Notamacropus eugenii: one gene and its partner. The protein of the gene in region 2 interacts with the protein of the main gene of each other region in a pairwise test. Links are inferred from orthologs where the notes say so. Each region holds a gene or a part of one and is shown on either strand. Other genes may lie near its edges.

Region 1 (8,341 bases), on a different chromosome or scaffold from region 2:
GGTAGTGATTGTAGAACACTGAAAATAAATAAAATTTAAAAAAATTAAAAAAAAAAAAGAAAAGCTTCCATTCCTCTTCTGAAGCCCCAAATTAGGGGACAAGAACTCAATGTGACTTCAGTGTAACAAGAGCTGTCAGCTGCTAACACCCTGAAATGGGCTATTTGGGGCCAGTCACAAGTAAGAGGGGACTCGACCAGGGAAAAGAGAAAGTTGGAAGCAAAATGCTAGCTTTTGCCCATATCACCAGCTTTGAGGGAGCAAAAGCCCTGGCATGCAGCCCATGTGACCCAGCCACATGAGACCCTCAGCCACATGAGACCCTCAGCCACAAGACCTGAGACATCATCGTTAGGCCCTGGCCCTGCTTCTCTGGCCCATTTAAAACAGTTACATTCCCAGTGAAATGATGCCTCCAGATCAGGCCTTGCCAGTTGAGATCCCCCTGGGTGGCCCAGTCACCAGGAGGCTCCTCCCTTCTCCCCCCTCAGAAGGGTTTCTATTTACCTCAGACCCGATGTTAGCGCCGTGAGACACTCCATATTGCCTCCCCTCGGTCAGACCCAGACAGCTGCCTTCAGTGTAACCTTCCTGATAGCCTTCGCCATGATACCTGGGACAGAGAAAACACACAAGATAAACCTGAAGAGGGGGCAGTTACAGAACAAGGACCCACGGCCATTGTGGTGGCAGGACTCGCGGCTCTTTGCCAGTGAAGACAAAGGTGGTGATGATAAAGGATAACGAAGGATGACATTGCAGAACACGCCACAGAAGACTCAGCGACCCCTGTCCTATGGGGCAACGTGCCAGTCTGATCACACTTCCTGGCCCGCAATGGAAGGGGCCTCAGAGATGCTCTCTCTGGAGAACTGCAGCGGGACATGTGGTCAGGGAGCCCCACAGGCGACTGGCCCATGTTCAGGGGGTGGAACCCGCTGTAGCCACAGCAGAAAAAGGGTGAGTCTGGGAAGAAGTCACCTTTCGTTTCCTGGGGTGCCCCTTCACCTGTTCAAACCTCAGTAGTGCCATGATGCCATTGGGTGCACAGCATGGCTGTGATGTGGGTGTGAGTGAGAGGCATGGCTGTGCACGGCACTAATCCCCAGGGATGCTGACACAGGGGGAGACTGCAGTGGCCAGGCCCACCTTTCCTGCAACAAAGATGGTCCTCATAGAATCATGGCTCAAGCACTGGAAAGGGGACAGCAACGTGGTGGGGCAAGGCTGAGACCTCTGGAGGTGGGGGGCTACCACAGTCCCTTGACTCTCAGTCCATGGCAAGGAACCATTCCAGAGACAAAAAGGCTTAGGAAGTACCCCAGAAAGACTCCATCACCTCTAGGGCCAAGAAAAAAATCTTCTGTTGGGTGTCTAAAGTCCCCTTTCCTCTTGGACTCAGGGACACTGGCCTCCAGCTCTTGCCTGTGGACATCTTCTCTGGCCACCCTCCAGGCCTGGAGTGCCCTCCTGGCTGGTCTCCGCCCAAAGCCCACCTTCCAGGTCCTCCTGACTGCTGGTGTCTTCTCTCTGATGCAGATCTCCACTCAAGTCTGCCTACATCTTGTCTTCTCACTGATAAAATGCTGTCAGTGTAAAGGAGACAATCCAAAGCTTCTTCCGGTGAGTGTGGAGAACATGGGGAGGGCTACAACTTTCAAACCTTGTCCAGGTTGTACAAACACTTAGCCCCCTAGGGCTTAAAAAATGTACACAGATAATTAAGGGTTGATTAAGGCCTAGTGATCCAGTGACCAAATAAGCCAGCACCTGCCCTCCTGAGGATGCCCCAAGGTGTGGACTTCTGCCCCCCACACCTGTGGACAGGTACCAGGCCATCCAGCATGAAGTCAGCAGCCCCTGCCAAGTATGACCGGGCCAGCCTGGAGAAGCTGAATGCTTTGAGTGTGGGGTGAAAAAGAAAAGGAGGGTATTAATAGGGTAGGGAACGGATGCTAAGATCACGTTTTAACGCTGTTTCTAAACATTAACCTAATTCCTCCTTTCAGAGAGCAGTGGAAAGAGGGGGCTTGGAGGGCTTCTTCAACTGTAAAATGAAGGGCCCATCAGCTGCCCCTGCCTCGCCTTCAGAGACGGCTGGCCCTGCCCCGTGCCCACTCCTGCAACGCCTCCTGGTCCTGTTTCACGTGGGGCAGGCTGGCCCAGTCTTCCCTGGAGGCTTCCTGGACACCAAAGTCCAGGGGCGCAGGGGGCAGGGTGGGCTCTCCCCAAGGGGGAGGCGGCAGGGGCAGGGGCGCTCTGCTTCCGTTCTCCCAGAGGTTCCAATCCTGAGCCTGAATCGCCGGCCATGGCAGTGACGCAGACCGCTGACCACTGACCGCGGCCCCAGGCCGGACCTTGGCCAAACCAAGGGCACGTTTGCACTGATGTCGGAGGACGAGGCCCACGGCTGGAGGAAGGCTGGACAAGGGAGAAAAAAGGAGGGAGGCCCAAGGGGTGTCCACCCCACCAGCCCGGGCCGTAAGGGCACTTTGCAGACTGGGTGCGCTCCCACCTCGGACACTCGGAGGGGACGAGAACCTGCAGACGGACCAGCGCGGACAGGGGGCGCCCCCTCGGCACCTGCCACACCCGGGCGGACCCGGCCCAGAAAGGACGGCGCCTACTGTGTGCACGGTCGGCTCAGCAGAGCCTGGCCCACCTCACAGGCTCGGCCAGGGTCACACAGAGGGGGGGCCCCTGACCTTTGTGGGGGGAGGGGCCAGGGTCATACAGCGGGGGGGCCCCCCCTCTGACCTTTGTGGGGGGAGGGGCCAGGGTCACACAGCGGGGGGGCCCCCTCTGACCTTTGTGGGGGGAGGGGCCAGGGTCACACAGCGGGGGGGCCCCTCTGACCTTTGTAGGGGGAGGGGCCAGGGTCACACCGCGGAGGGGCCCCTGACCTTTGTGGGGGGAGGGGCCAGGGTCACACAGCGGCGGCCCCCCTGACATTTTGGGGGAGGGGCCAGGGTCACACAGCGGGGGGGCCCTGACCTTTGTGGGGGGAGGGGCCAGGGTCACACAGCGGGGGGGCCCCCTGACCTTTGTGGGGGGAGGGGCCAGGGTCACACAGCGGCGGCCCCCCTGACCTTTTTTGGGGGGAGGGATCTGTGAAGACAAAACCATTTTCATAGCAATAATGAAGACGCCTCCGGAGGGACGCACCGACAGGCGGGCGGGGTGACGGACGGACCGGCAGACGGACCCCCTCAGTCACCCCAAGGGTTCTCCCAAAGCTTGGCCCCGCCCCCTCCCCAGGCCCCTAGGGGGAGGGGAGGATCTCTTGGGCCGAGCCCCGGCCCCGCCCCTCAGGTTCTGCCCTGAAGGAAGCCCAAGGCCCGGGTAGGATTTGCACCCGGTGCCCGGACGGGGCGGAGCCGGGGAGACTGAGGCACGGCGGGAGCCTACCCACCTCTCCTCCGCCATCACGATGGCATCGAACAGGTCCGGGGGCCGGTCCATTACCCGGTTCGGTTCCGGCCCACCAGTGGTTGCCTCTTCCTACTCCCCTCCCGAGCCGGGCCGGCCGCGCAGAGGCCGCTGGGACAGAGACTACGGCGAGCTGGAGGGCCCGAGAAGCGTAGGTCATGGCGCATGCTCAGTAGGCGCCGGACTTTCTTTACCCCCCCCTTGCCTTTAATGGCACATTCCAGGCCCCCTTAAAGGGCGTTCTGACTGGCTGCAACCACTGATGGGGGGGGGGGGGTTCTGACATTGAGAGGGCGGGGCCTGGGCGGGGCCTGGGCGGGGCCAGAGGAAGAACCAGGCCAGTCTTCCCGGCTCTGGTCCGCAGTCTCCCAGCAGCGCAAACACGCGGAGCTTAATCCTTGCTTATGGATGGAGGTACAAAACACACAGACACGCCGCAAAGTCTGGGGTCCTGGGAGGCCATCTTCTGCCTCAGTTTCCCCACCTGCAAAATGAGGGGACGATTAGTTCCAGGGCTCTTCCTCTGGCGTGCTCGGGCGCTTAGCTCGGGTGCGCGACACACAGTCAGGACTTAATAAATGCTTCCTCCCCAGGCTCTCGTTTACTTACGTCCCCCCAACCCCAAGGCGGAGAGCCCCTAAAGCCCCAGGATCTGGGGGAACCCTGGTTGTCACCCTACCCCCCCAGATGAGAAAGCTGGGGTCCCCTTTCAGGGAATCCCTGCCTCTGGCATAGCTGGCTTTGGATCCCGATCCCCGACCCTCGATTCCTGTCTTCCCTGCTGTAAAAAGGGAATTGGACCGAACCTCCGGGCTCTCCCGCATCGTCCTGCACTGCTGGAGTCCGGGGACCCGACCCACAGGTCATTTCACTCCGGGGCCACCCCTGGGGAACTCCAGTCCTGGTGGAGATTTGACTCAGGCTTGGACCCCAATTCATTAAACTCGGAGCAGACAAAGCCTTGGGGCTCTTAGCTTTTGGGGGTCCTGGTACAGCTCAACGTCTCCTGACCCTCACTGAGGACTTCTTTTTATCTACTCTGAGGCTGTTCTCCATCATGGGACACAAGCAGGAGAAACAGCGAAATTCTACTGATTCCTATGTGGGGTTGGAAGGACTCGAGAACTCAGATTCCTTCCAAACCAGAGATTCTACTAATGCTCCTTTGCAGACTTGGCTTCCATTGTACCCCTCTGTGCTTGCAGAGGTCATGGCAAAGGGTAGCAGTTATTTACTGTCCACAGAACTGTTTCTGCTGCTCTTTCCCTCTGGGCATTTAATGCCTATATGGCTCCCTATGCCATGGATAGGGTCATGGCATCATAAACACAGAGCTTCAGAGGATCCCTGATCACTGGATGCCATGGAGTTCAACTCCCTGATTTTACAGGCAAGGAAACAGAGGCCCTTGGAGTCAATCAGTCAACATGCATGTACTAAGTGCCTACTATGAGTCAGTATCTCTTATGGGGATACAATGAAAGGCAAAAAGCTCTTTTGAGGAACTCACAGCCAAGAGGGGTGATATGTAAACCAGCAGGTAAAAACAAAATGTGTACTGGGTGAGTTGGAGTTACTGAACAGAGGGAAGATGTTGGCATTCAGGCAGACCCAGGAAGAATTTTTGCAGGTGGAACTTTAGCTGGAGCTTGAAAGGGAAAGGTCATGGAAAATACCTGGGTTCAGGAGATGGAGTGTGTGAGAAATAATCATGGGACTGAAGAGTAGGGGGTCACAGAGATAGAAAAAACTGGAAACATAGGAGAGGATTAAATGATGAAGGCCTGTGGATGCCAAACAGAGGATTTTGTATTTGATTCTGAATGTGGCAGGAAATCATTGGAATTTAGGAGGCTGACATGGTCAGACAAGTACTTAGGAGGGGCCAGTTTGAGAAGGTGTTGAGTGGAGAAAGACTTGTGGCAAAAGGGGTTTACTGTGCAGGTGACAGGTATGAGAATATCCACAGGACTCAGTGACAGATAAGATAAGGGAGTGAGGGAAGAGTGAGGAACTGAGGATGGTAGGGTGTGAGCCTAAAGGTCTTAAGGATAGTAACAGTATTGTGCTGTGGGCTTTGGATCCCTCCCCCTTTGAACTTTCCCATGAATTACAGGAACCCAGCCTGCCAGCTCAGAACCCCCTCCTCTCCACATTCACCAGAGGCTCCTGGAAGAATTCTTTTAACTGCCCTTTCATAGTGACCCTCCTTGCACCCTAGACCCCCATTCCTTGATTCCATCTAGACCCACTCCTTGACCAGTATATATGTGTCCATCTTTCCCCCATTAGATCACTCAGATTCTGTAAAAGTTGTATGGGCATTACCAAGGCTCAGATTCTTAAAATCTGGCCAACAGGGCAAATTCTTAAAATCTTGCCCACCTCAACCCATGCTTTAATAAACTCTGTCTCTGTCTGAAAGAAGGCTTGAGTCAAATTCTTTCAAGGCAGGACCTGCATCATTTACCCTTGAATTTCGGTGTTCTCAGCACCTCTAAACTGCAACAGCAGTTTGGAAGAGGGGAAGATTTGAGAAGAAGGAGTAAGTTCAGTTTAGAAGGTTTGCTGATCACCCAGTTTGAGATGTCCAGTTGGAAATGGGAGTCAGGGGTCAACAACAGTAAAGGCTGAATAAGGAGATCTGAGGATCATCATAGAGATAATTGAGTCCATGGGAACTGATGAGATCACCAAGTGAGAGAGTCTAAAGGAGAAGAGGTTCTGTAGGACACCCATGGTAGCAGGTGTGTAAGAGGCAAGGTAGAGAGTGGTCCCCAGGGCCCAACGCTGCAGAGGAGATCATTGGATTGGGCCACCCAGAGAACTTTGGGAGCGCTGGAGAGAACAGTTTCAATAGAATGATGAGGTCAGAAGCCAAAATGTTGAGAATTAAGAAGAGTGAGAGGAAAGGAAGCGTAAGCACCCCTTGGAGGTGACCTTTTTGAGGAGCTTTGCCACAAAGGGGAGTCAATAAACATTTTCCCTAACATATTATTTTTTTTTAATATTCTTTTTCTTTTGAGTTTCAAATTCTTTTCCTCCCTCCCATCCCTGCTCCACCCACTGAGAAGGCTAGCTAGGATATGACTCATCCATTTGAAATCATGCAAAACTGATTTCCATATTAGCATGTCACCCAGAAAGCAAGAAAAAGAAAGAAAGAAAATTGTTAAATTAAATGAGGAAAAAATAAAAATAAATTAAATACAGAAAATTATGCATCCATTCGAACTCCATCAGCTCTCTCTCTCTGGGAGAGGATAGCATTGTTCATTACGAAGCCTTTGGAATTGTCTTGGATTGTTGTCTTGATCAGAGTGGGAGAGGGATTCTACTGACTTTACTGTCAACAGATATTTCTTAAGCACCTACTGTGTACAGAAACTGAGCTAAACCCTGGGGATATAAATAAAAATAAACATTACAATGGGGGAAGTCAGCATACAGAAGGAAAGAGGTGGGGTTGAGAAGTTATTGGGTGTGGGAACTTGATGGAGGGTATCCTAGAGGTCCCGATAGCACAATTGTGGGACTTGAGGAGAAATCCCTGGTCCTGCCCTGGAGCCCAGGGTCCAGCCCTCTGTCCAGTCAGGGTCCGTGCTGAGTGGATTCCATCTCACCGTATAGGGCTATTTCCCGGGGAAGGAATAAGTTGCCCCCCATCCCCCGGGGAATAGGGAGAAGGCCTTGGATGAGAGCTGGGAGGGAGGGTGGCTCAGGGCAGGGTTTGGTTTTCATCTTTGAGGATGGGGGAGACGTGGGCATGTTGGGAGGTAGTAAGGGAGCGAGCCAGCAGTACACTAGGAGAGATGGAAGAGGAGTGAGAGGGGGGTGACAGAGAGTGTTGCCAAAGAGAAGGTCACCTCTTCATGGGAGACAAGGAGTAGATTCAAAGCTGACCGTGTCCAGTGTTTGGGCGGTTGGATGCAAGTCTCAGACTTTCAAGCATCACTCATCTCAAGGCTAAGGCTACAAGGCAGCGGTCACTGGAAAGCGCTCTTGCCACTAGATGGAACCCGCATCCCAGAAATGTTATCCTGCTTGGCTTTTTCAGATGCTCCTTTATCGCTTCCCAACAGCCACTGGGAGGCATCAAGGTTCAGTGGAAGAAGCTGACAGTCCCCTCATCCCATATCCCTGCGCACCACCTTCCTCTCCAGGGCCCCAATGTAGGCTCCTCTGCCCTGCTCTGAGGAGCCAAAGTCCCCAAGACCAAAGCCCCATCAGCAGCTCAGGCAGAGAGTGGGAGGTTAAGACTGAGAGCAAGGCTACACCAGTGTCTACCTCCCCATTTGATGGAGGGATACCCATTTGTCCAGTGGGGTCATGACTCAGAGATGTTGGCCAAGGACCCGGCTAGCCTCAGTCCATCTTCTTGATCCCTGACCCTACAGAGTCTGTTTCTCCATGATAGCCGCAGGCTCACCAAGTCCACCAAAGTGGGGAGGGGGCCAGGTTCATTAAATACCGAGCCATTTAATCGCTGACTTTATTTAGAGTGTGGTTTTATCCTAGGGACCTTAAATCTCTTTTGAAACATTCAAAAGATAAGAAAATAGACTATCAAAACTGGAAGAGACCTCAGAACATGGAATGTTAGCAGCAAGGTCCTTAGAACATAGAACATAGACTGTTGATGTTTGATGGGCCTTTTGCACCTAGAGTATCAGAGCTGGGAGGGATCTTAGCACAGAAACTGTCTGTACTTGATAGAGCTTTGACACCTTGAATGTCAGAATGAAAACACAAAAAATCAGAGCTGGAAGAGATCTTAGAACAAGAACTAGTAGAACAGAGAAGGAACTCAAAGTATAGAACACAGAAAGTCCACACTGGGAGATGCCTTACAACTGAAAACATGGAATTGTAGAGATGGGAAGGGTCTTCTGGGTGTTTTCATTTCTATGGG
Region 2 (8,783 bases):
TAAGCCATGGTCAAAGGGGTCTGTTTTCCTGGTCTCTGGACTCTTGTATTTAGTTCTGGGAACCACATTTTCAGATTAGAGAAAGGCTGAGGTGAGTTCAGAAGAGTGTGACTGGCATCTGGTGAGGGGTCAGAGAGGATACAAAGTCACAGCCTGGAAGGACCTCAGAACTAATCTAGTTAAACTCTGACTTGAATGAGAATGCGATCTATGATATCCCCAGGAACTGGTTATTCAACACCCTTGAAAAAAACTCTCTCCTGCCCCACCCTCAAACCAGTGCCTTCCAAGGAAGTCTTTTCCCTTTGGAGAGCACTAATTGGGACATGGAGCTGAAACAGGCTTCTCAGTCCCTTCCTCCCAATGGACCTTAGCAGGACAAGGAGAAACCTTACAAAGAGCCACACAGGCATTTGGTGGTAACCTGTATGTCACCTTTACTGCTCTTCCTTCTCTAGACTAAACCATTTTCCAATCTTCAGGCACCCCTCCCCCCAAAACCTGCTGGAGGCCAGAATTCAGGGGACTTTCCAGGAACCAGCCCTGACAATGTCCGAAGTTGAAGGCCAGAGAATAGATAGATCCACAGTGAACTCCCCAGCCCTGTCCAAGCTGAGAGGAGGCCAAGAGGCCACTGCTCCTGCAGGCAGGCCTGGAGAAGAATGAGGAGAGAGGGAGGGTACAGGACCACATGGTGCCTTCCTTCCAAGTGGGGCAGAGAGCAGGATGAAACACCCCCAGGGCAAAAGACGATGGCTGGTCAAACTGGGAATTGTTGTCCCAGCCATGCTCCTCCTGGCTGGGATTCACACTCATCCCTCCCTCATTTCTTTCCCAAGGTGGGATGCAATCTCTTAGCTCCATCCAGCATCTAAGAAGCTCCTTTGGCTTCTATAAGATGGGGATAATAGCACCTAGTGCATGGCCCTGGTGTGAGGATCAAATAGAACACATGTGAGATGGTCTCCCAGTCTTACAGCTCTGTGACTGCCAGTCATGAGTAAGCCCTCTGCTAGGAAGGACTGAGTGGAGACCACTCTGACACAGGAGGATGGGCTGTGTACTTCCTGACATTTGACCTGTTAGAAGGCTAACTACGCTATTGCTAAGGGTGGCCTCAAGATCATGCAGAATCATGGATTTAAATCTGGGTGGCCCCTCAGAAGGCCTGATCCAGTCCAATCCCCTCATTTTACAAATGGGGCCACAGAGGCCCAGGGGGAGCAAGGACTTGTCCACAGTCACACAAAGAATCTGAGAGGTCACCAGAAGGTCTGAGGATTCCGAAGTCACGTTTTTCCTCCTTGAGCCATGCTTATGTACCTACAGTCAATCCTCAACTTTCACAGGGGTAACATTCCTACAAAACAGCATAAAAGTAAAAATATGATTTTATGGGAAATAGACTGCCCAAACTGTCATCTTGTTGCTGGAGATGGTTGAAGGGGCAGCTACCCTCTATCTTCCTTCCTTTGGGCTCTTTGGCTGAACTGTTCCCTAAAGCACACACCTGGGGCCAGTACCCCAGCATGCAGATCGCCTCTCATTTATTTCTCTACTGCACAGAGCTGCAAATGTGTAATGTCCATGCGGCTGCCCACATAAAAGTGAAAATGAAGTTACTAATAAAATCACACACAGGCTTCAAGTTGAAAAGTTAAACTCTTGAATGGAGGAGTGACTTGGGTTGCTTCCAGATTACTCCCTGCATCAGACTGAGCTCCCAGGACCATTTGTCTTTTTTCTTTCTTCATATCCTTGGTGTTTGGCCCATGGTAGGCACTTAACACATGCTTATGGAATTGATCCCTGACAAATTTTCTAAGACTGTCATTGACAGTGTCCTCTGGGTCCCTGGGGTGCAGCTGGCCCTGACCTGGAACCTCATGATTCTTATCATCACCTCAGTTATCTCGAGCTTCAACTTTTTATTCTAACCTTCGAGGTCCAAAGATCGTTCTCAGAAGCAGAGCAAATTTGCCTTCTGTTAGCAACACCCCATGGCCTTGGAGTAGTGGCCTTATCCCTTATCTGACCTCCATCGACAACGCCCAACAGAGCTTAGAAAAAAGTCCTCCGTGGCCATCATCCCCAGCCTTAGCACACGTCGACATTAGGACTCCTGACATAATTTTTATAGGATATCTCATTTGCAGTTACTGGCCCTTGCTTCCCTCCTCTCTGATCGTATGTTGTTCTATGGACATGGATGGGGGAAAAAAGATTATGTCTTCTCATTCACTTTTGGTTTCCTATAATTCTGAGAGCCTACCTCTCCCACACTGCCAAAGGGGTCCATGACACACAAAAAGGAAAGAATTCGGTCTTAATTTTTAATTTTAACTGCCATTAACACAAATAAGAATAAAAGAAAATACAATAGCCAGTAGAAGAAACCAAACGTGTTCTAACTTTTAACAAGGTGGTAACAGTAACTGACAAAGTCCCTGAGTATCAGAGGCGAGCTTTGCTACTGTGGATGAGTCTATTTACAAAGTTACAACCGTGCTGCCCACAGGTCCGGCTTCTCACGCTAGCTTTCGCTTTCAGGGGAGGGCTCCAAAGGTGCACTGGCGTTTCAGGCTCCAAACTGGCCCCTTACCGGGCGCACAACGTCCCCGCCGCCAGCCCCGGGCCCTGGGGTAAGGAGAGTACCCTGCACACGCCTTTTATTTGTAAACAAATGCCTTTAAAAGCACGTACGTGGGAGGAGGGATGCCCCAGCTTTATCAAAGTCACGGCTAGGGAGCCGGTCGAGGGGGAGGGGCCGACCGCCACGTGCAGGCATCGCGGAATCGAAGCCCCGCCCCTAGCACGACTTATTGGCCGCACGACTCTAACGTCACTTCCGCTCCCTGCCCTCTGTCTCTTTCACACACACCTCCCCTACGCTGACCCCGCCTCTCTGGAATAGAGGGCTTCCGGAACGAGCCTCACCCGCACGCGCCGCTCCAAGCGGCTCCTCCACTCCCGCTGCGCCGGCAGTGTCTCGTCTGCTTCGTCGTCGAACACGTCCACGTCCGCGCCCCCGTCCTGCCCGGGTCTCGCGCATGCCGCCTTTAACCACGACATCGCGACCTCGCCGCCGACGGGCCCCGCCCCCGGAAGTGCCCGCCCCTGCTTCCGGGGATCGTGAGGCGAGTTCCAGAGCTCCACCCTTTCGTTCTTAGGGCGCCGCCGCGAAGTCCGCCAGCGGTGGGTGACTGCGCGGCCATCTTTGAAGAGGGCACGCGCTAAGTGTTCTTATGCGTATGCCCCGGAAGGAGCCGCAGTAGAAACGCCTGTACTACGGTGGCCATCTTTGGAGAGGGCGGGCACAGCTCCTCCCCGCCCCATTCTGTGCACGGAGCGCGCTTGCACTATGACCGCCATCTTTTTGAAGGGTACACTCTGCTCTGTCCCACTGTTCTTTCCTCACTGCCTCCGGAAAGGAGTTGTCAGGACATTGGGTAACATGTGATCGCCATCTTTATAAAGGGCAAGCTGTCCTTCGTCTCTCCCTTCCGTCTTCACCGTTCTGCGCATGTGCGGAAGGGATCGTTGGCTGCGGGGTGAACCGAAGTTTGAGGTCGCCATCTTTGTGAAGGGCAGCCACAGCTCCACCTCTCTTGCAGACGGCGCTTTTGCGCATGCCCTGGAAAGAGCCCCCTGGCCACACTAGCTTTATGACGTCAGCTATCCTCTGTAACCCACTCGTACACGGAGGGAGGCTTAGAGGCAGATTTGGAACTCAGGTCCTCTGGCACTAAGAGAGGGTCTAGTCGTGCCTGGCTGTTGTGAGCCTCAGTAGAGGGAGTGCCCTCCCCTGAGAAGTCTCTTCCAGCTGGGCAGCTCCTGTCCTAAGCGTGAGCCCATCACGTGTCCGCCCTTGGGCTGGGGCGGGGGAGGGGTGCTGGTAACCTGGAAAGGGTGTCCTGCTGAGCTTGGGCTCTTGCGCTCAGTCTTTCCAGGGTCCTTCCGCTCAGGCGCCACTTTCCCCACTGGATACATTGTGTCCAGCTTCATCTCTCTCCACCCCCTCCTTGTGACCGCACCTCCTCGCCCGCCCAGCATCAAGCGCGTTCTGCTGTTCCTAACATCTCGGCTGCACTCTCCTGACCCGCAGCCCGGGGAGGGCAGTGACCCCATTGTGTGTCTCCCCCCTCTCCCACCGTGCTGAAGGTACCTTCAGCTTTGGCTCAATCAGTTCTGCTGAGATTTGCAAGGATCCACAACCCGGATGCATTTGGGGATGGCTCTTCGCTTCAGGGTTTACTGGGTGATTAATTCGTTGAGGTCAGGGGTTCCGCCTTGGTTCTCTTGGTGAAGCCCCCACTGAGCCTGGCACTCAGCGATACCTTAGGTGATGAATAACTTTTGGCTTTCCCATCACGATCTCTTTGCAGCCTCCAGATAACACTTTGAGTAGGACAAGGATTTGACCTATTTTGGAGGTGGAGATCTCAGAACTCCAAAGAAAACAAGTTGTTGAGGCAACTGTGGAGTGCCCCAGTGCACAGAGCGCTAAACAGCCCAGGACCTGCCCCAGGGGCAACAAGACTGGAGTTCAAATGTGAACTTAGACACTAGCTGTGTGGCATTGGGCAAGTCATTTCACCTCTGTTTGCCTCTGTTTCCTCCAGTGTAAAATGGGGAGAATAACAGCACCTACCTCCCATATGGTTTTGACGATCAAGTGAGATATTTGAAAGCATTTAATCTAGTGACAGGCATATAATAGGCACTTAATACATGCTTATTTCCTTCCTTCCACAAATGACTTCCCCAAGGTCACACAGCTAGCCAGGCACTAGTGGGACCCTGAAGCTAGCACCTCTGAATTCCAAGGGTGGTATTCTCTTCCCATTGTGCAGATGACCCATAAATATGTCTGGGTGTGGACCAGAGGACCTAGACCAAGCTGAAAGGGCCTTTATAGGGCATCTAGTTTGAGCCCTTCATTTTTCAGCTGAGAGCTAAGGTCCAGGTCACATGGGAAGTAAGGGTGAAGGCATGATTTGAACCCAAGCCCTCCATGTACCATGTGACAGAACTTTGTAAAACTTGTTGAACCGAACTGTTACTATCTTCTGGTGACTTAGGAGGAAACGATACTGCCATGACAAAGTATGTAAGCCTTGCTTTGAATGAAGAAATTTTTATCAAGAAATTGAAGACATTGGGGGCCTAGATGGTGTGTTCATCATGGTTAATGGCTTCAGAAGTTCCTCTAGAAATCTGTATCATCAGTCATTGTCTCTTCTCTTTGTCTTGGCTTTCTCCATCTCTGCCTGCTGTCTTCTGTCTCTCCTGAGCATCTGTATCCATTTCCATCTCACCCTAGCTACTTAACTGGTTTCTTACCCACATTTTACAAACATTCAGGTCTAAGCCAGTTTGGGTCATGGATTGACCCAGCCAGAGTCTCAGCCTGTCACCTTCTATTTTGCTTCCTTTCCATTACCGAATTCCCATTCACTTTTCAAGCCCTTTCATTCTGGTTTCTAACCCCACCATTGTGTAGAAACTCTAAGGTTCCCGATGCTTGCTTAACTGATCAGTCACCCTTGTAAGGGTTCATTCAGATGGAAGTGCAGCTGAGAGCTTGGGACTTCCAGGAGGGAGTGGGTTATCACTGCCTGTGAATGATCCTTGGTGACTGCAGCAGACACGGCTTCGTGAGAAAGGGCTTCTAGAAGTGACAAGTTAAGGATCCAGGACGACTCAGTTTGGATGCTGTTGCGAAAACTTCCTGCACAGTGCATGCTTCGTGTACTTTGTGTTTTTAGTTCAGTATCTTTTCCATAAATCCTGCTCTGTCTGCTTTTGATGGCGCTCTATTTTCTGTCCACTGTTCTGCTTGTATTTTACCCTTGTCCTTTCAAAGACGTGCAGATCTTAAAAAAGAAAACTTCTTCCCGACTCTTCCTATTCTGTTGTTCCATTGTTTGTCTTCTGCTCACAAATCTGGGCCTTTTGCAAAATTACAATTTGTTTTTAATGTATTAAATTACAGGAGGGCTATGACCTTTCCTAGTATCTTTTGCTAAGTTTCTGGCCTGTTGGGATGCTTACAAAATATTGTGTAGCCAGTTCAATAATATAGATACTCTTCTCCAAGTCCCTCCTAAAACCCTATTTTAGGAATAGGGTCTCTAGCCTGTTCATCAGTTCTATTGAGTGACATACTGTACTGGTTTGTGACTTTAGAATGCAAGAACAGCCAGCCTCAGGAGAAAGCATTTAACTGTTGATATCAGTCTTGGTAGAAATGCATCATGATTTAGCAGCTAGAGAGGTGGGTTCAAATCTGCATCTCTGAGACTTACTAGCTGTGTGAGCATGGGCAAATCACTTAACTTTTTTGAGCATCAGGCAATTGACTCCAAGACTTTTTTGCTAAACTAAAACATGAATTGCCATCTTTCTTGGTGGAACGAATTCTTATACCAGGGATATCACAGATTCCTGATATAGTACCACAGCAATGACCAAAGCATATAGCAAACACATTTTCTAGATTATCTGCAGAACTCTTTTCCTCAGTGAAGTTACACAGTCAGGGCCTCGGGCTCTTCTTCTTCCTCTGCTCCTATCTCAAAAAGGGCTTCACTGTTTGACCTACTCATCCCTTGACTCTCTCTTTGGACTGATTTTATTTAGATACATCTGCTTTGAATGAATTCTGGCTCTTGGCTGACTCATGAAGGTCAGCACGTTGGTGGGGGCTCATAAGCTATGGTTTTTGAGGGGATACTTTGAATCTGGGGAATCCACTGTGTTAATTGAAGGGCTACAATTGTGACTTTCTTACTTGCAGACAAGGCATCAGTCTTAGGATACTGGCTGGTTGTATAGTATGCTCTGAACAATGTATGCATTGTCTCTAAGCCCTTCATGCCACTGTAATGTCCCTGGTAGTGACAGTTAGATGGTGTGTGTCACACAAAATAACAATGGTAATTGTTGAAGGAGGGGGTTCATAGGATCCCAGAATCATAGAATTTTATATTTAGACCAGTCCTCAGTCCAACCTGAACCTGAGCAAGAACCCTTCTCCAACATTGTTGACAAGTCTTCATTTATTATGGGCTTGAAAAGTTCTGGAAAGGAAAAGGAGCTCATGTAGAATAGTCTGGAACTCTGAGAGATTAAGTCTGTTGCCTGGAGTCACACAATCAAAGTGCTAGAGACCATAGCTGAACCCAGGTCTTTCGTGTATATCATTTAGGCAAATTGTTTTAAGTGACTTCATTGAGGAGGTCTTTCTGTGGTGTCCTGGGGCTTGATAAGGTCAACTCAATGAACTTGTAAACTGAAGCTTCCAGAGGACCTGACCACCCATAGGAAAGTCTGTTCCATCTGTATGTTTCATGCTAGATAATACCTTAGCAAGGTGCTATTACTCTGTTTCAAGCCTTGCTTAATATGAATAATTAGAGGATTGACTGCCAAAGTGAGCTCTTTGCAGCTGTTTGACCCTGGGCAAAGTACTTAACCTTACCCAGCCTCACTTTCCTTTTCTGTAAAATGGAGATAATAAGTCCTCCCTTCCTGGGTGGTTTTGAGGAGCAAATAAAGGAATTTCATATAAGTATAAATATATAAATTTATATATACATGTATGTATATATTTATATAAGTGCTTTGCAAGCTTGAAGATGATTATAGAAATGCAGACTATTATTACAGTTGTGATTATTATCACTATTATTATGGCATCTTTTGAGGAGTCATATGATTTTTCCCGTATGCCTGGGAGACTCTTTGTTGGAGAACCTTTGATGAGAGGCTTTGCTCTGCCAAATAATATGTTTTGTCATGGTCGATGAAGAAAAAATCCAGTGGAATTCTGTCTTCTCTGCACCTTTCAGTGACTGTAGAGATGTGAGTCATCTGTAGAATCTCACTTGCCAAAATCATGACTTCATCATGGATGCCCTTGATAGATGCGTTAATTTATCCTCATAAAGATTTTGTAGAGATGGGAAAGTGGTCATATTGTTGAGTCATTGATATTTTTATTATTTTTATGTGGTAACGATAGCCATAGGATCAAGACTTAAAGGTTGAAGTTTCTGCAGAGGCCATATGGTTGAACTCTATTTTTACAGATGAGTACAGTGAGGCACAGGGAGGTTAAGAGTCCAGTATCACATGAATTGTATTAGGGATAGAATTAAACTTAGATCCTCTGATTTGAAATCCAGTGTTCTTTCCACTATCAGCCTGATGACTTACCCCAAGCATTTGGACTCTCCTCCTCTTTCATATTTCTTGACAATCAGTCGTCAATGAGCTTGGACTGCCTTTACATAGATTTCATCTGGCCAGCTATTCTTGCCACTTTGTTTTTGTTAGAGCCATCTCTCAGTATCATGTCTAAATCAAGGTGATGATTTTACTTTTTTCTCTTCAGGTCACATTTGAGGTATTGTGTCTGGTTTGGCCACCATACTTTTAGAAGAATATTGACAAGCTAGAACTTCCTTAATCAGCTCTTCAACCAATAAGCACTTATTAAGCACTAATTATATGTGGAACTGTGCTAAGCACTGAGCATACACAAATGTGAAATGAGGTCCCTTACCTCAAGAAACTTACATTTGACTGAAGAAGACAACATTCACCTTTGTAAGCATCCAGGGTGGTTAGGAAAAAAAGTGTTACAGGAAACATCCTTTCAGAACCCAAAGAAGGTAGTTGGGATATTTAGCTGGGAGAAGAGATTTCAGGAGACATCATAGCTCTTCTTAAATATTTGAAGAGCAGTGTGAAAGAAGGAACACACTCTTGGTCCCTCT

What was found.
Region 1: the proteins of YAE1 (region 2) and LTO1 interact in binary tests that used the Homo sapiens proteins (3 or more experiments, as listed by UniProt). The link is inferred for Notamacropus eugenii from reciprocal best matches to the Homo sapiens genes YAE1 and LTO1.

Annotation. Positions count from the first base shown.
Region 1 is NC_092873.1:21,947,245-21,955,585, forward strand, and holds the start of LTO1 (protein LTO1 homolog), read right to left. Parts: upstream 3,731-8,341; 5' UTR 3,463-3,730; coding exon 3,413-3,462; intron 614-3,412; coding exon 508-613; intron 1-507. UniProt on the Homo sapiens protein: The complex LTO1:YAE1 functions as a target specific adapter that probably recruits apo-ABCE1 to the cytosolic iron-sulfur protein assembly (CIA) complex machinery. May be required for biogenesis of the large ribosomal subunit and initiation of translation.
Region 2 is NC_092874.1:480,882,747-480,891,529, reverse strand, and holds the start of YAE1 (protein YAE1 homolog), read right to left. Parts: upstream 3,772-8,783; 5' UTR 3,073-3,771; coding exon 2,938-3,072; intron 1-2,937. UniProt on the Homo sapiens protein: The complex LTO1:YAE1 functions as a target specific adapter that probably recruits apo-ABCE1 to the cytosolic iron-sulfur protein assembly (CIA) complex machinery. May be required for biogenesis of the large ribosomal subunit and initiation of translation.